Tribolium castaneum: one gene and its partners. The protein of the gene in region 4 purifies or fractionates together with the protein of the main gene of each other region. This does not show direct contact. Links are inferred from orthologs where the notes say so. Each region holds a gene or a part of one and is shown on either strand. Other genes may lie near its edges.

Evidence for each region.
Region 1: the proteins of trbd (region 4) and Naus purify together in Homo sapiens (affinity purification with mass spectrometry; 4 studies listed by BioGRID and IntAct, with this or other methods). This does not show direct contact. The link is inferred for Tribolium castaneum from reciprocal best matches to the Homo sapiens genes ZRANB1 and CTTNBP2NL.
Region 2: the proteins of trbd (region 4) and Slmap purify together in Homo sapiens (affinity purification with mass spectrometry; 3 studies listed by BioGRID and IntAct, with this or other methods). This does not show direct contact. The link is inferred for Tribolium castaneum from reciprocal best matches to the Homo sapiens genes ZRANB1 and SLMAP.
Region 3: the proteins of trbd (region 4) and Ufd4 purify together in Homo sapiens (affinity purification with mass spectrometry; 5 studies listed by BioGRID and IntAct, with this or other methods). This does not show direct contact. The link is inferred for Tribolium castaneum from reciprocal best matches to the Homo sapiens genes ZRANB1 and HECTD1.

Annotation. Positions count from the first base shown.
Region 1 is NC_087403.1:7,346,071-7,351,297, reverse strand, and holds Naus (CTTNBP2 N-terminal-like protein), read left to right. Parts: upstream 1-2,099; 5' UTR 2,100-2,313; coding exon 2,314-2,487; intron 2,488-2,539; coding exon 2,540-2,641; intron 2,642-2,690; coding exon 2,691-3,224; intron 3,225-3,274; coding exon 3,275-3,435; intron 3,436-3,565; coding exon 3,566-3,729; intron 3,730-3,778; coding exon 3,779-3,864; intron 3,865-4,359; coding exon 4,360-4,731; 3' UTR 4,732-4,760; coding exon of another isoform or gene 4,761-4,788; 3' UTR 4,789-5,140; downstream 5,141-5,227. UniProt on the Homo sapiens protein: Regulates lamellipodial actin dynamics in a CTTN-dependent manner. Associates with core striatin-interacting phosphatase and kinase (STRIPAK) complex to form CTTNBP2NL-STRIPAK complexes.
Region 2 is NC_087399.1:2,655,454-2,660,616, forward strand, and holds the start of Slmap (sarcolemmal membrane-associated protein), read right to left. Parts: upstream 3,232-5,163; 5' UTR 3,092-3,231; exon of another isoform or gene 2,986-3,091; 5' UTR 2,892-2,985; coding exon 2,613-2,891; intron 2,567-2,612; coding exon 2,344-2,566; intron 1-2,343. Other genes in the region: PRKR-interacting protein 1 homolog, read left to right, coding at 3,361-3,492, 3,538-3,717, 3,766-4,098. UniProt on the Homo sapiens protein: Associates with the striatin-interacting phosphatase and kinase (STRIPAK) core complex, forming the extended (SIKE1:SLMAP)STRIPAK complex.
Region 3 is NC_087402.1:10,959,956-10,964,543, forward strand, and holds part of Ufd4 (E3 ubiquitin-protein ligase Ufd4), read right to left. Parts: coding exon 3,487-4,588; intron 1,464-3,486; coding exon 1,223-1,463; intron 1,169-1,222; coding exon 1-1,168. UniProt on the Homo sapiens protein: E3 ubiquitin-protein ligase which accepts ubiquitin from an E2 ubiquitin-conjugating enzyme in the form of a thioester and then directly transfers the ubiquitin to targeted substrates.
Region 4 is NC_087395.1:24,403,620-24,407,218, reverse strand, and holds the end of trbd (ubiquitin thioesterase trabid), read left to right. Parts: intron 1-1,180; coding exon 1,181-1,661; intron 1,662-1,709; coding exon 1,710-1,858; intron 1,859-1,912; coding exon 1,913-1,991; 3' UTR 1,992-2,623; downstream 2,624-3,599. Other genes in the region: Cht10 (chitinase 10), read right to left, coding at 3,301-3,591. UniProt on the Homo sapiens protein: Ubiquitin thioesterase, which specifically hydrolyzes 'Lys-29'-linked and 'Lys-33'-linked diubiquitin. Also cleaves 'Lys-63'-linked chains, but with 40-fold less efficiency compared to 'Lys-29'-linked ones.

The DNA of each region.
Region 1 (5,227 bases), on a different chromosome or scaffold from region 4:
TGGTGGAGAAATGGTTTTAGCCATGGGGGTGAAAGTGGGATACGCGCATTGGCAACACGAGAGTATAGGCGAGGGGGGTTTTGCACTCCCGGGGAGATGAAAAGGGACGACCAATGACGACTGCTTATTTTAAAACAAGCGCGTATTTATTAGGGATTTCATTAAATTATATTTTTTGACGTAACAATGACATCTACGCTTGCGCGCAGATCGCACCGAAAATATCGCGCCAAAAGTGTTGTTTTGTCACTCATCGTTCAACGTGTTACCGGAAGTATGTAGCAATTATTTGTTTAATCGTTTAATCAAAGCAAAAATTCTGATTACAGTTCGTTAGTGAGTCAATTCCTGGTGTTGAGCGCCGACCAAAAAGATAAGTATCTCTTATTTTATTAATATAACCTCATCTTTTTGATTGGTGTTTCTTTCTATTTTAAAGGCATTGGTCTGGAGTGACGGATTTTTGATTTCTACTACTCAACTGAACTTTAGTCATGGCTGGTTATCGCAAATATTCCTGCAAATACCCCGGATGCACCAGTGATTATGTTCCCAACAAAGGACAGTCCAATAAGCATTTCTTCACCTTCCCTAAGAATCCAAAGCTTCAAGAATTGTGGAGGAATGCCTGCAAAATTGAGGATCCTGTAAGTTCAAAATTTTGGCGTTTTCGCTATTTAGGGTATTTCAGAATTTACTTTTAAGTTTCTTATTTGCGCTCGAGTGTGTCAGTGCACTGCATGTACCTCCTCGTGGTCGTAGCGTGGGCAACTGTTTGCTGACAGACAAGGTAAAAGTCATTGCAAAGCAGACCTTATTTTGTTTTAAGTCTCGAGCAGACAGGCAAAACATGCCAACACTGACTGATTTAATTTTTTTATAATTTTTGTATAATTAAGAAATAATACAATACTTTAATTTTTTGAAAAATTTAATTTGTTATGTTACTCAAGTGTACAATAAAAATGTTAACAAAATCTGTGTTTTATTACCCCAAAACAACTTTTTTTGTAAGTTTCATTTCAAATTTTGTTTAAAATAAATATAAAACGTTTTCATTTTGTTTAAAATGAAAATATATTTTTTTATTTTAAACAATTTGCAATGAAACTTGTAAGATAAAAATAATAAAAAACAATATAAAAGGAATTTATTCAAACGTGGCACTTTACCGTGGTAGTAACGCACTTCAGCACCAGAGGCGCTGGATTCTCGTGTTGCCAGTGATTTACTAGGGAATTATCACTTCTTAACCCTTTCTGTTCTGTGGTTTTAGCTGCATGGCGGCAGCGATTGTCTGGTCGACTCTAATGTTCATGGTGCCAGCACCGTTTTTGGTGCTATCTTCTACATTGTATTATTTTTGTATTACGCAACATGTATTTTTCTATTGATAATAATATTAATAATTAATAACGCGAGTGACGCTATGCAGAGAATATGGAACTAGAAGGATCCAGTTTTTATGTCGACATTGAGCCATAGATTATAGATATTTAGTGGCTGTAGATTGGCGACTCTGCCGTCCCCACCACAAATTGTACATTCTAGTTACTGGTAATGTCACGTAAGCGCTAGTTAAATCGCTTGGAGGGAAATTCAAACCCATCCGGTATTTGACAATTCTATCAAATATATTTGAACAAAAACACAGTTTTACACCCGACACACGAAACTTTGGGTTTTACATGTCGCATAAATCAGCATAAATCAGTGTCGGTTGTAAAAATGTGCTTTTGTTCATCCAAGTGCGTGACGCATGTGTTCAACAGACGCCTTAAGATACAATTAAGTATCGAAGGGTTGCGACAAATTTAATAGTTTCATTGATTCTGTGTTCCATCACAACCAGAGACACACCATTTTAACAGTACTCAAGTGTGAACCGTTGGAGACGGCAAACAACAAATTTTTTAAATGATTAAGACAGTAATATATTTTATCTCTCTTGATTGCTTGTCAGCGCTTCGGTGATGTTACCACTAACTAACATCCCCACTCCTGGCTTTTTTTGAAGAGTGAACACTCCCTGATTGAGCGATTGTAATTTTTGGGGAAATTTGCTGTCGTGTGAGCAAAAAATCTTAAGACGAAATTCCCTAAAAGAGGAGTTGTGTTGGTTATGTGAGTATAAATTAATCGATTGTTCACGTTAACCTATAAGAGTGTTTTCCAAGTTGTAAATTGATTGAACGATACGTTTGAAATATAATGTCGATAATAAAACAATTATCGATCGAAAAAATGGTAGATCCTCCGATGTTTTAGCGGAAAAGTCTCTGAAATTAGGGAAGCAGGAAAAAATCCGTCAACATGGCTTCTAATAACAATCAGCAGAATGGATGGTTGAGTGGCTTAGGAATGGGATTTGGGGGCGCCTTAAGTTGTGTTCCGGAACAACAGCAACAACAACAGCCAGGGGCTTCCTCAGATCCAAATCAGTTTGAACAATTAGACAGGACTAGTGTCGGCAGTAATACTCTTAAGGTTGTTCACGTAAAATGTATTGGTCACAATTCTAGTTTTATTTTTCAAACAGAGAAATCCAAAAATGGAGCTATCTAAAAACGATCTTCTTAAATTAGTCACGTATTTTGAAGGTGAGATCCAAGCTAGAGACATCGCGATTGCTACCTTGAAGGTACCCGACTCTCTTTAAGCCTTTTCTACTACTAACTTTTTTTATTTAGTCTGAGAGGTTGAAACAAGTAGTGAATGTAGGACGTTATAGACCCGCTGTGGCGTCTGATCCCTACATAGCTTTACTTAGAGACAGTATTGCCGATGGACCAAATGCAAAACCTGTTGTCAGTGAACAGGAAATGGCTGTTGCAGCTGAACAACAGTTGCAAGCACTAGAACAATTAGCGCTTCAACAAAGACGAGCTCATCAACATATGATAAATATATTAAAAGAAGCCGAAGCAAAACATAGGAAAGTCATACAAGAACTAGAAGAAGAAAAATGTAAACACGAACATGACACTGCTCAAGGTGATGATATTACTTATGGTTTAGAAATGGAGAGGACTAGGTTAAGACAAGAATTGGAAATGGAGAGGTCTGCAAGGAAAAAACTAGAAAAAGAAGTTAAAAAACAATTAGAAATGGCTGACGAAGAAAGAGCAAGACAAAAACAAATTGTTCTGCTTTTGTTGGCTGAAAGGAAAAAAATTATAGTGAAATATATCGAGGAGAGAAAAAGGAGTGAAGATTTAGCACAAGTAATTTAGCTTTAGTGTCTTAATACTGACCAATATTTGCAAAATTTTAGATATTATCTGAAGAAAAGTCAAGGATTGACAGCATGGCTGAAGGTTTAGAGGAAGAAAGCAAAAAATCACTTCAAATGGAGGCTGAACTTGAAAAACAACTACACGTTTTTGAAGCTGACAAAAAATCACTAACTCAACAACTTGCCATTAAGGAAGCTAGGTAAACAATTTTGCCTAATTAAAGATCCTCCAAGCAATCGTGTGCTATTCCACTCGCTGATCGAGTGATCAGTGAATGGCCGTTTTTTGCAGCTTAGCTGGTATGTTAATATATTATTTTTCATCTTTAGATGTCAAGAATTGGAGGCTGAATTACAAAAATTAAAAGCTGATTATGAATTATTAAAAACTCGAACTAACGTATCTTGTGATAGTGCAGCTCCTATGATTAGTAGTGTAGCTAAGGTGGTACAACCGACGGCAACTGTTTCAAGTGTTCCAGTTTCAGGCCCTAGTAATTATATAGTTTTTTTAATTATCTTTTTGCTAATCAATTATTGCAGCCACGGGCATTGCACAGTCTGTAACACCAGGCCAGGCTTTGCGTCAGACAGCAATAGCGCCCCCGGTGCAAATGGCAACAACTAAGGTAATGCCGTTCACCACCAGTGTTGCCAGACTTGATGATTTTCGTCGAAAATTTTCATTTAAACTGTGAAAACTCACGAAATTAACTCTTATTTCAGCTTATTTTGATCGATTTACTTCGTTTTTGAATCAAAAAAGCAGACGATTTTCTTTTACAAAACAAGTAGCCTTGGCTGTTCATTTTTTCAGGCAAATAAGACAAAATCACAAAATTTAGCTAGCCAAAAATGGTGTTTTTTGGAACCCTTTACTAAAATACCTTGTGCATTATTAGAAAGATATAAATGAAAACTTATAATAAGGTGAATATTAGGTGCAACTTTTTCGGGTGTGGTGGATTATAGTATATTTTTGAACTGGCAACACTGTCAAGATACGCTGATAGTAAAGTGACCTGTGACTTTGAAATTAAGTGACATTAGCTATGAAATTCAAACTTCGCAGGCCGCTTTGATAATGAATTAATGAATAAGATTGATCAGATAAAGAATTTCAGTTGATGGCAAATGCGGGCCCTTCAACGCAGCCACCAGTGACTCGATCTCAACCTAAACCAGCATTTCACGCCCAATACCAGTCGCCCTCTGCCCCCCAAACCCCTCCCAAGAAGGGGGCTGTGGCCGGGCGTGGCGTTCCTCCCCCAATTCCCCCAAACAAACCTGTCATTCCCTGCAAACAAACGCCAGCTCGACGACCGGACGGTAACGAATCCGAGAAAAAAAAAACAAGCAGTGCCGGTAATAAGGAAGCAGCGCCATCTTCCGGCGAATCAAGTCGTAGTGGCTCTCAAGGAATAGAAATCTTAGGTCAAGAGCTTGCCGATTTTCAACAAATGTTTGTTACTATGGCAACTAGCAATAATACTTAGGAATAATAATATAATTTATTTGTTGACAGGTTGGGGTCTGACGATAATCAGAATTGACCTCAGAAGTCCACTTCTTATGTGATAATTACAAAATTAAATCTATACTTGAATAGTGCATGAGTTGTTAGAGTTATTTTTTTACTTTGGCACTGCAACTTTAGCCCAGTAACTTTTCTTGGGGCGGAGCAAGACTATGAGACGGCTACGTGTACTAAATTTTAATATAAATCTCTAATTGTGACTGAAATATCTCGTTGTATCATATTTTTCGTGCGAAATTGATGTGTATTGCATTTTATTTAATTAATTATTTTTGCTTTTATATTTAGGGACAAGTATTGTTATCTTGAATTGAGCTACTTAAATTTGGTTGTATTTTTTATACAAAATAAATTTTTTTTTGGTATTATGACTCGCCTGACCATTTATGCAAACCAACAATCTACGTTTAACACTAGTTATGTTTAGAAAAGAAAAATATAAATGTAATAAATAG
Region 2 (5,163 bases), on a different chromosome or scaffold from region 4:
GCGGTTTGTTCTATTGGATTCAGCGGCTTTTTTTCTTTATTATACTAATTTTTCACGCAATTTAAAATTTTCATTCTTTTTTGCTCAAATTTCCTGAGTACTACACTACTTACCTTCAAAGAGATGAAAAAAAAATTTTTTTTAAACTCACTCCAGCAAATTTTTATGGACTTCTATATGTCTTAACAACTCACTAAAGTTGTTAAAAGTCCACAAAAAGTCCATATGTTCAATTTTTTGATGTTTGATTTTTTCAATTTTTGTCGCGATTTTGGTCGATTTCGGGTACCCGGAACATTTCTCGAGCAATAGCTCCGGAACTATTAGAGATAACCCCATCAAGTGTATTATCGTTGGAAAGCTCTTTAAATTATCTATTTTTTTCAAAAAAGATTATTGTTCTCCGACTAATAGTTTTCGAGCAAATTGCTGCTAAATGCAAAAATTGGTAAAATTTTAAAAAATTCATAACTAAAAAACTATTGGGAATTTGGCAATTTTCTCGATGCCAATCGATTCCCCGGATCATTTTGCATAGATATGGATCAAAACAGTTCCACTTTTTACAATAGTTTAGCCGTAAATGAGAAAATAAAAAAAATTAAAAAAAAGTTAACACCCCCCCCTTAAAATTGGTCAATTTTTAAAGTGTCTCAAAATCAAATAAAACCTATTCTATCCTATAGATTTTGATGTGCTCTTTACGATCGAACAAACCGTTTTCTTCTAGCTCTTTTAGTTTGGCCGTAATCGGCGTTTGAAAATTGAAATTTTTTTTGCGAGATATCGCCTTAAGTCCTATGCCATTTTGTAGAGTTTTTTATTCCGGTTATCCTCCATTTTTCCGTTTCTCTATATCTTTAATAGTTTCGCCGTAATTGGCGATTAAAAATTGAAAAAAAGTGAAAATGGAAACCTTTTTTTGCGTTTTTCTCGGAAACTGTAAGACTTAGAGCAACGAACAAAAAACCATCTGATAGCGCTTAATTTTGTCTAATTTCTCGACCAAACCCGGAGCCGCTCCGGGCAACGGTTCCGGCTACAGAGGCGATCAAAGTTTTTCACTAAAAAAATTCATAAAAAAAAAACTAAAAGTCGTAGAGCATTGCGGTTTGTTCGGTTGAATTCTACGGCTCATTTTACATATTATATCGATTTTTCACAAGAATTAAAAATTTAAAAATTTTTGCCTAAATTTAGGGTAGCCATTTGTCATAGTGAAAAATTTTATTCATTAAAAAAATTCATAACTCGAAAACTAAAAGTCGTAGAGAAGTGCGGTTTGTTCCATTGGATTCAGCGGCTTTTTTCCTTTATTATACTAATTTTTCACGCAATTTAAAATTTTCTATTTTTTTGCTCAAATTTCCTGAGTATTCTTGTACCTTCAAAGAGATGAAAAAAAAATTGTTAAAAATTGTTGTTAAAAGTCCACAAAAAGTCCATATGTTCAATTTTTTGATGTTTGATTTTTTCAATTTTTGTCGCGATTTTGGTCGATTTCGGGTACCCGGAACATTTCTCGAGCAATAGCTCCGGAACTATTAGAGATAACCCCATGAAGTGTATTATCGTTGGAAAGCTCTTTTAATTATCTATCTTTTTCAAAAAGACTACTGTTCTCCGACTAACAGTTTTCGAGAAAACTGGAAATAAAAGCAAAAATAGGTAAAATTTTAAAAAATTCATATCTAAAAAACTGTTGGGAATTTTGCGATTTTCTTGACGCCAATCGATTCAGCGGATCATTTTACATAAATTTACATCAAACAATTTTACATATATATTTGTCGTAATTGGAAAAAAAATTCCAAACACAAAATAGCAAACGTGTTATTTAGTTATTGAGATACAGAAAAAAAAATCTTTTAACAAACTCATCTTGTATGAGTCGAATGTAATGCGCAACAGAAACTTTCCTTGACTTTTAAACGTTGTGAAATAAAAATAGTATGTACATAATTTAGATTTTTTAAAATACAAATTATAAACAAAAGAGAAATACCAATTTGTTTAATATTGTTGGTAAAAAATTTGGAGGCTTTCCGGAACAGTGTTTAATTTTTTCATTTAAATGTAGTGTTAAAAATAGCACAAAAACGGGTGGTCCCACTTAACCTTCCGAATTCAAATAATAATAGTAAAAAAACAGTCTAGTATTTGCCGACTTGGCCCAACTCCAAAACGACAAAAATCACTACAAGTCCGAGCAATTAATCAAAATTGGGTTCAAAATGAGCCGTTTTCCACCTTATTATGTGTTTATTTTTTTTAAATAAAAACTGGGCTTTTATCGTTATCATTCTTACGTCAAACAAGAAATATCAATTACAAGTCAATTACCATCAGTGTTATTTTCGACGATGCTGGGGCTGGCTTTGGCCTCCCTCCCATCAGGCATGTACAGTTTAAGCGTTGCGATAATGCACCCATGGGTCACCTTCTTGTTGTTTTCAATGACATCGACCCCAAACTGGACAATGTCCCCCGAACTGACCTCATGGTGCTCCGTCTCGGCCACCAGGCGATTATTGTTGACGAAAGTCCCGTTGCTGCTCTTCGTGTCCTAAACCGGGGACTTTAGTCACAACTCACTCCCAAGGGGGCCCTACCTGAAGGTAAAACTTCCCGTTCTCGTACCAGAGCACCGCATGGTGCCTGGACAGCACCTTGCAGTCGAAGATGGCGTTGGCGCAGGTGGCTTTGGCCTTCGCCACCGAGCGCCCCACCTTGACCGGCTGGTCCAGCAGAAGGGTGCGCTCCTGGAAGGGGTGCGAGTTGGGGCGGCAGATGAGCACGGCTTTGGCGAGCATCTTGGCGTTGCTGCTCTTTACCATGGGGGTTGGGTATGCGGCCACATTCTTCACCCAGATCCCGCTTACAACGACCATCGCCTGGGGTCAAGTGGGGGCAACGAGATTAATTGACAGCCGACCAAAGCAGCACACTGACACTCCACAACGCGCTACAACACAACCAACTCACCTAAAACGCAACGATTTGGGGTTTTAGAGCGATTTTCATTTACTGGGTGAAGATATGTCAAAATTTGTGGGCGTGAAACTAGCTCAAGAACTAACGCAAATCGTACCAATTCTACCACATTTTTTGCACCCGAATCGGACCAGTTCGATCGCACCGACACCACGCACGGGATTTACATTTTTTACGAGGGGTTTTTTACCAAATTTATTGCAAGTTTTTATCGCGCAGTGACATTTTCGAGCACAAAGACAAGGCTGTGTTAGGGATTTTCGCCTTTCACCAGAGTGGCACCTCTGACCTTTCACCACCTAATTTCACGTCAAACGATTCGTAAACAGAAAGTTAGGTTACTTTAACGACAAAAACTTGAAAAAAATGGCAAAAAACACACCGGGGGACCGCGATAGCAGCCCCGATATGGAAATCGAGCGCGACCACAAGCCCATAGTCATACGCAACTCCACGGACTTGCAAAGACTCAAACTGGAAAAACTGATGAAAAACCCGGTAAGTGGCCCCTGAGAGTTGTTAGCATTGTTATAAATTGTGTAGGAGAAAGAGGTGATCATCCCCGAAAGGCCCAAAGAGCGGGGGGTTCCCGTGGTGCCTGATTTTGTACGTAATGTCATGGGGAGCAGCGCTGGGGCTGGTTCTGGGGAGTTCCACGTCTATAGACACTTAAGGAGAAAAGAGTACGCGAGACAAAGATACATGAAAGAAAAGGGCGAAAGGGTAATTAATTTGAATTATGCCTTCGTTATTTTTGAAAAAAGTCTTTAGGAAAAGTTGGATAACGAATATCATGCCAAACTTGAAGAAAACAGGAGGAAAGCGGAGGAAAGGACGGCGAAGAAGAGACAGAAACGACTAAAGAAAAAGCAAAAAATGAAAAAAAAGCCGAAGTTAGGCAGTAAGTCTTCACAAAGTGAAGCAACCGACAGTAGTAGCAGTGAAGAAGTTGAAAGTGAAGAATGTGAGAAAAAGAACGAAGAACAAACGCCAAGTGAAGACAGTAAGCCTACAAAGGAAGAAAATACAGAAGATCGGAAGGAGGGTGGAAAAGAAGACGCACCAAAAGAAACTCCTGATAACACTAATGACGAAATTAAATAAAAACCAAATAAACGTATTTTTAATTATTTGCCTGTTTTTTGTTATTATTTGATCATGCCTTTTCTATGGAGAACTGTAACTTATGAGACGAAACGAGATACATAAGTCGTACTATTTACGTATTTTTTGTATGCTATGTGCTAACAATAAAACAAATAAAACCTTTTTTTTTAATTGATTGCCCATTCTTATGAAAACAACTGCGTTCTCTAGCGACCTTAACGGAACTATCAGGGAGAGGAACGTTTTATTTGTAGGTGGCTTCGTATCCTAGCCTTTAAATCTCCGTAGTCCTACCTCTCTCAGTCCCCTAATTTTTTTATTTAAAAAAAATTTGTAACGTAAAATGGTGATATAACTGTTTGAGTTGCTTTCAGCGTTAATTTCTAATTCAAAGCATGTGTTCAAAACCCATTTTGTTCAAAACTATCATAGTGACACAACTTTTAAAAAATATTTCTAGCCCGGCGCCTCCACCAAAAATGTGAAATTATTAAAATTTGTACGAAATATTTTTATCTAAATGAAACAAAAATCTATGTTTTTATGATGTTTAATTAATCTTTGTTACAGAAAATTGCATAATAGTGAAAAAAAATATTAATTAAGCGTGCTATGTTTGTCATTACTTGTCACTAGCACTGTCACTGGGATTTTCATACTTTGAAAAACCGTAAAAAATCACAAATTGTGCTTTTTTAAAGTAATGAAAAGTAAAAAGTGTACTATTTGTGCGAATTTGTATTTTGTGTTGCTCGCCTAGCCTTTCCGCAGCCTTTCCCCCTAAACTTTCCCCAAATTCCCCATCCGTTGGCAATACTGCTCTTACTCACGCAGTTTTGTCATTTCGTATCGCCAGTGTTCGCGACCGTTACAAGTGTCCAGTGTCTCTGTTATCGCCTTTTAACCAAATCGCAGTGAAATAGTGTCTTGGATAATCACTTTATCACACCTTGTAAGTAAAATTTCCCCTTTATCACTTTCACAGCCGCCTATCCGGCGGAAATCCCAGACGAATTGACATTGGCCAAAGCAAAATGGCCGATATTGATTTTGTCTAAAAGG
Region 3 (4,588 bases), on a different chromosome or scaffold from region 4:
ACCGAGAATATTCAAATACCACGGTTTTTTATCCTCAATAATCATTTTAGGCGGATCCAACTCCAACTCTTTCTCACTCTCTTCCGAGATCAAACTCGAAGTCATAATATCATCCTCGCTCGATTTTTTAACACCCGCAAATCCAATCCGTTCATTGACTGTGTTCTGAATCTCTCCATGACACATCAATTTCAAGAAACTCTGACTCAACGGCAAGTCAACTAAACGATTATCTTGCAAAACTTTCGCGAGAAACACGCCCAAAAACCAGAAATACTTAACGGCCTTATCACAAATTTCAGAATTTTGCGGCAAAGGTGCAGGGAATAGACCCGACACTCGCCGCACGTAGTATCCGGGAGGTTTAACACCCTCACCTAGATCAACAATTTCTTGCATATCAATGGCATCATCGTCACAAATCCACATCCCTAAATCCCTCCTCTGTAATTCGGCAGCGACCAAAGCATAGAATTCTAAAGTTGGGCCCAGTCCTGTACCTTCCTCTCCCAAAAACTCTACTTCAAGTATTGATTTTCTATCCGAATGGATTTTCATAACTTGCATTGCCCAACTCAGAATCTCTTCACCTCTAGGAACTTTCACCCTTTCGTGTTTCAAACGCCCTACTCTAAACTCATGTGGTTCGTCGCGACGTGGTGACAAACCCGTGGTTCTTTGCCTTTCCATTGTGACATCACGCTGGGTTTGCAACCAGACTATACTTCGAGACGCTCCAAATGCGGTACAATTGAAATACAAGTGGCGAGTTTCGAACGGGAATAAAAACGGACACGAATGATTCAACTCTTCACACCATGCCGGTAAACTAGAACTCGACAGTACCAACGGGTCTTGGATTTGTTGCAATAGCTTGTTTGTGATCTTTTTGCTAGTATATTGGTCGGGAGTGATTTCGATGTTGTTGTCTAACGAATTCAAATCGTTCTCTTTTGTTGTTGTGATTACAAAAAGATGACGTAGTAACTGAAGGACGTCTTCGACGGTACAATTTGAGACTGATGGTGTTCCAGGAACAGGAGTACTGGGTGAAAGGGTGGTACCAGCAACTGAACTACTTCCACTTCGGGAATAAAGGACAACAGGAGTGGCACGACCCTCTTCCGAATCGTAAGTTCCATCGTCTTTTAATTCGCGATATACAATTCTTTAAACACGAAATAATAAATAATTGAAACATTTTAGCATGGAATTAACTTACATATATGTGGGTTCCCAAATCCGTCTCAGTTTCTCTTGTTTTGAACCGAATTCGGTCATTTGCATCAACTCTTGAACCGCTCTAAATATGGTCCAAGACGGATCGTTTAATTCGATTTCAACGTCGGGAATTCCCGGCATATTTGGACCCCTCAACACTAGTTGCAATTTCGGTTGTGGCAACAATTCGTGTTCTAAATAAGAACCGTTTTCTTCTTGTCCAGGCGGTGGTACTTCCAAATCTGCATTAATTGTAAATAAAGAAAATTGTCATTTTTTATGCAAGAGAATGAAATTGAATTGTTAATTCGCAAGGAGCAGAGATTAAGGCGTAAGTCGATAACGCAGTATTTTTCCCCGTGTATTTATTTTCCATTCACCGAAAAATTTAGTTTAGAGAATTTTTAATTATACTTTATACTGCACATAAACCAGAAAAAGTATATTACAGATTACAATACAGAACTACTAGCAAGCCGTTCTAGATTGTAGTGCCTCTGTGAAACGACCACTATAATTTTAGGCAAATAATTTCAAAAATCCAAATATTGTTTCTCTGAAAAATTTTCAATTTTTTTATTTTCTCAATTACGGCAAACAATCGGCAAACCTAAGTGTGATACGTAAAATAATCCGTAGAATTCGATGGAACAAACCGCTTTGTTATAAGACGTGTCGTTTTAGAGTTGTGAATTTTTTTAATAAAAAAACTAAAAAAGTCTCTGTGAAATGATCAGCAAAATCTTCTAGTAAAAAATATGATCTTTATAAACGTATAATTTCAAAATGTAGATGATACCGTGGAATACAGTATGTAACGTAAAGACAGGGACAAAAGAGAACCAGATATTTCCCAGATCAAAATAAAGCGCAACTTACCGTTTAAAAGTTATAGATATTTTCGATTTTCTTTAATAACTTCTTAATAGAATAAGAGTTTTTCATGAAATTTAATAAAAATAATTTACGATTAAAACCACATGTTTTGGGTCTATTTCCTTTGCTTTTTTTTGGTTATGGTAAAGTACTTATTAACAACATTAAACGTTCAAAGCTATATTTTTGTCATCCAAGCGGCACCAATTTTTTATTCGAAACGGCCATTAATTTTAAACAATTTTTATATGATAAATTATTGCATCATGATCATGATTTTGGAATAAAAGTATAATTTAAAAAGTGTCAAGTGTCGCCAATTAGTTGACAGTTATCTCTGATTTTTTACTATGAAGTAATTGTTGGTCGATGATTTCAAAACTGCCAAAAGATTTTTTCTATCAGTTTTAATTTTTGAGATAGTACAGGTGACTCATGCTTTTAATCATTTACTTATTTTGTTACCACACACATTTTTTGCTGTTTTTGAGTAAATTATTATTTAATGTTGTAACAGTTAAATTTTACAAAACGACAGTGTAATTTAATTAGTTATATTGGGTTAAAATCGATTTTTTTTTTAAATTCACAACTGTGAATACTACTTTATGAGAGACAAAAATAATAAATTTTAAATAAATTGAATAATTAAGCCATTCAGATAACGTATAATAAAAACATGCCCCAAAATGTGTTAAATTATTGATAGGTAGTATCTATTTTACAATAAGAAAAAAACTGATTCCGTTGTCCCCATCTTTTCGTTACACCCTGTATATTAAATACCTAAGTTTTTTCCGAACAGTTTATACCCGATAAAATATCTAAACAAATTTTAAGACTTGTAGGCAATTTAGTGTACCAGATGATTATTTAAATTTTGTTTATTTTATTTTATTGAAAAATCTAATCTACAGACTGATCCAGAAATACTGTGCCTGTTGACAACACTGAATTTAAATTTTAAAAGATTCGAATGAAGTATACACATCAAATTAACAATAATTCAACAATCTTGTGGGGTTGTATGTCAAATATTTCTTAATAAAATGTATCCAAATCCCGCCTGCTGGATATTTTGTAAATAATGCATTGAAACGGAGATTCACGGTTTTGGGAGTTGCTATTGTGCTAATTAATTAATGATCCAAAACAAAACCAATGAAAACAACAAAACAAGATACACAAGACAGAGTTTGACAAATGTGCCCGAAACTGTAGCGTTCAAAACGGGAATCATTTGAACTTGACAAATTCCAGGCGAGAAAAGTCATTTTATAAAAACAGTGACGAGTTAATCAATCAGAATCCTTTAAAGAATCTCTTGTAGTGTTAATGTAATTTTACATCATGGTTCAAGCAAATGTCCTGTAAAAAATAATAACATACCTGTAGTCTGATTGACGTTAGTCCTTCCCGGTCTCGGATCAAACGCGGGAATTAAAGCCGAAAATTGCCTTTTCAGCACATACTCATCATCCCATGATCGCCTCTTACTCGGCCTTGAACTCGTTTCAAACCCTTCTTCCTCCATAAACGACAACAAATTCCTCGAAACCATGACTTCGTCATAATCGGCGTCGTCTTCATTTTCATCATCGTCGTTATCATCTTCATCGCCCATCTCCTCATCGTCGTCCAACTCAGCAAGAAGCGTCGGCGCACGACACGATTCCAAAAAATCCTCAAGTGACACCTGTTCGCTGTCGCTGCTCGTCGACGTTAGACTCATCGTCAACGCTTGACTCAACCCTTGCACCGTCCCTGCAGTCGTCGAAATTCCCCCTTGTTGAGCTGCTGTGTTATTACTCGATGATAAACTAGGATAACTTTGAGCTGTACTAAGCAAACCTCCAGGAAAATTACTCGATAAAGCAAGCCGCACCAAACTCGACACCGAATTCGGTCCTCTCGGAAACAAAGAACCCGTATTCTGATTATTCTGTGCGTTGGAATTTGTTATAGCGCCCGAATTATTCGGGTTTGCGTTCGAACTGTTCGTCGTGGTGACCGAACCCAAAGTTCGTCGTCTCGCTAAAGCTGCAAACGTTTCTAAAAGACCAGCGGTTGAAGTTGGCTCGATTTGACTATTGGCTTCTGTCGAAGTCAAATTTGGAACACTAACACTCATCGGGTTTGTCACAACGATTGTGTTATTACTCGTGTTTCGGGCATTATTCGTAACTTCGTCTTTTTCGCTGCATGGATCTTTAGTTGTTGATGGTTCGTCGGGTTTCCTCCGAACTGGTTTTTCTTCATCGGTTTCGGGATTACCTGATACCGAAATGCGTACACCTGTATTTAGAGAGCTTATTGATTGTTGGCTAGTCTGGCCTAGACTCAAAGCGGTTTGTAGTAACTCACCGGACAGGAAATTATTCGTGTTGTTACGTAACATGTCCGAACCTTCGCGAAGTTTATCTAACGCTTCGACGGCTTCGACAAATGTTTGTGCTGCAGCTGCGGCCACTTGACTATTATTGATTTTTGA
Region 4 (3,599 bases):
TTTTAAGTCTGTAACTAAATTTACTAAAGTTGAAGTTTAAAGAATCTAATTCTGTCATATAATTTATCCGTTGGTCGTTTTTGAGATTTAATTTATCCTATGACTGTTTTATATAACTTGCATATTAACATTAATAATTAGAAAATTCATTCGCAAACAAAAACAACATTGAAGCATCATTTATTTCATGTCATTAGAAATATTAAAGAGAGATTATTTATGTGCTTTCCACCAACTTTTTGTGCAATTAAAGAAGTTCAATAAAATTATTTTTATTTTATTTTTTTTGGTAAAATTATAATTATCTTTAAAATATGTATTTTCAAACATCCGACTTGCTCTAAAACGTGTGCCTTGCAAAAATATTTATCGCATTATTTATACTAACCAAGTACATGATAAAGAGCCTTTTGTAGATCTCGCTTAAATTAAATATTTTATCATAAATGGAATTTTTTCCCTTTTTTTTTTAGAATATTATTGCTTTAATAGCAGGCCACATTTTCAAAGTATTTTTCTATAAATGTGTTCCTTGCCAAGTAGGAAATTTCGTTTTCGTTGTCAAGTCATTCAATTTTTTACAATTTTTTGTTAATAAATGGTTAACACACTCATTGTTTTCTACATATTTCAACTATTATTGATTGTTCCATATCGCTTAAGCTTTTATGAGAAATACAATTTTTAATTTTTGATTAATTCAAATCCTAATATAATTTTTAATACATTCATGTTCTTTGCCTCAGTTATTATTTTTTGTGGAACAAATTAAACAATATTTATATCGAGTTATTTTTTCTATAACTCAAGAATCAACTCTAGAAGATTTTAATTCAATTTTTTTTTCTCCTAGTAGTATAATCATATGATCAAATCTCCCACACCACGCAATCAAATAAAAAACGTCAAATTGTAGAATATCACATTAATGCACGTCTTTACAATTTAACAAATTTGCCTTTTTTTAGATACTTTCAGTGATATTTTATTTTGCCACAGATTTCAGTGGTGCTTTTAATTATTATATTCCACAATCTTTAGATTCTGTGGTTGCGGTTTAGCTCGCTCTTAGGTCGAGTTGTATAAAAAATTCCTCTTCTTTAATCCCGCTTTATTAACTCATAGCGACGATTATTACAAGAATTTTAAATCAGGATTTTTTACTTTTGCTTTTGTCCAGGTTTTACCCCCGATGGAAGGAGTACGAGGCAAGTCAGGCCTCCTTCCTCCAGTACTCCCTGGACGAGGCGCAGTGGGACGAGGACTGGACGAGTTTGTTGTCGCTGGCCAGCCAGCCGGGGACTAGTTTAGAACAATTGCACGTTTTTACCTTAGCTCATATTTTGCGCCGCCCTATAATCGTATACGGAGTGAAATACGTGAAGAGTTTCCGCGGCGAGGCGCTCGGTTACGCCCGCTTCGAGGGCGTGTACTTGCCCCTGCTGTGGGAGCAGAGCTTCTGCGTACGCACACCCATCGCCCTGGGCTACACCCGCGGCCACTTCTCGGCCCTGGTCCCGCTGGAGCCGTACAGCAGGCTAGACACGCGGCCGTCGCCCCAGCACTCGAACATCGGCGCCGACCAGCTGCAGAGCACCTTCCTGCCGCTGATGGACCGGGACCGGAAGCTGCTCCCCATCCACTTCCTCACCGAATCTGAGGTAGGCCGTTGTCAGTGTGCGAATTTTTGTGACGGTTTGATTGGTTAGTTGGGCCGCGAAGAGACGATCCTGCGCCAATGGCTGGACGTGTGCGAGACGGAGGGCGGGATCTTGGTGGCTCAACAGCTGCTGCACAAGCGCCCTCTGCTAGTTGCTCAAATGGTCGAGGAATGGCTGAACCACTACCGCCGCTTGATGTAAGTAGGCGTTGGCGTCTAGGCGGAGCTTGCGATCTGATTGGTTGCTTGCAGTCAGATGACGTCGGCTCCGTTCGCTCGACCAATCCCCATTCAGGATTATTTGAGCGAGTATGACACCGACGACGAATAGCGAAGGTTTAAAGGTCGTGTCGAAGCGACGCGATGCGTAGACGGTGACTAGGTATAGGTTAGGTTGAGCCGGAATTGCACAGCGTCAGTAGTGGGAATTGATCTGATTTAAAATTATTTGTTTTTACTTTTTGTTTCTCTTCAAGGGCAGATTTCTTCCTCTTGCCTATGCAGATATTGTATAGATTTTCCCGTGGGTAGGATATATTTATTTTTATAGATAGCTCAAGTACAAATAAATTGCTAAAAATCTATATTTATTTCACTGCGTGTGGGTTTGAAGGGAGCTGACGAACCCGTTTTTGTGATGATGTGCTTTATTTTTATTTTATTTGTATATGGAAGATGTTGGTTGGATATATTATTGTTCTGTTGGGTTGTTGATATCATTTCTTGTTGTGCTGTGAATTATCTCAATGCGGAAATTTATGCAAATGTATGGTTTTTAATAACAAATACAAAAAAGTCAAATTACTTCTAACTTTTCTTAGATAGAACAAGTTTCAAAATAGAGTCTTAAAATGTGAAATACTTACGAAATTTATTATACATAATTATATTGCATTGTTAACACACTGTTATAAAAAATATATATTATAAATAGAAAATAAAGCGTTTAAAATTATTGCATAACAACTGCCTTTCATTACACCCACCTCCTTTTCCCTATCTAAAAACACTAAAATTGCGGCAAAAAATATTGAGACCACTACGAAGGTGGTCTATCAACTATCAAGAGACTAAGATCACAAGAACACGAAAAGTTTTTAAACAACTACCACTTCCTAAAGTCGACTTTCTTTCTACAACTAATATTATGGAATCTCATGGAAGTAACCAAAAGCTGAGAGTGTACATACAGTAACTCTTTAGTATTAGACCACCATACTTACAAAATAAATCACGAAACCTTGTTTAATTTGATTTAAAATAAATGACCCGGCGCATCCACCATTTTTTCAATGTGAAGAAAATTCGCAAATGTTTTAAATAATAAAGTAAAATGGTTTCAAACGTGTGTTATTCTTACATAACCTTGAAAATGTGGGCCAAATACCTTCCAGTTTTATTGCTTATGTTGGCTTTAGAAAAAGACCTGGAGCAACCACCATTTCTGCCGAAGATTCTGGGAGAAATTATGTATTTTAAATCTGCTTTTGTATTAATAAAAAAAGGAAAATGTTTTAAAACGTGTTTTATTCTTACACAACCTTAAAAATACATAGGAAACCGAAAAAATATTATCGTATCCTTTTCGCCGTCGTGACGACTCAAAGAAGAGAAATATTTCATATAAGCATCAATCACACTTAAGTACAATTAGTCACGCTGATATCAGAGGGCGTCCCTCTCAACTCATTGTTTAAAGTCTTCAAGAGCGGGTGTTTGCCACACCCACACCTGTTCTTAAAATCGTCCAAATCCAAAGCCCAGACCATGCCCCCGCCCAGTTTCAACGCCTTGACCAATCGCGACTTGCGCCGGATTTCGGCGATATCATCGTACGACACCCATTGGTTCGACAAATAGGCATATGGACCAATGCGACCTTGAGGGTCCCTCGTCACCGTCCAACCCCTCTTCTTCACCCGTTCACAAATCTGAAAAT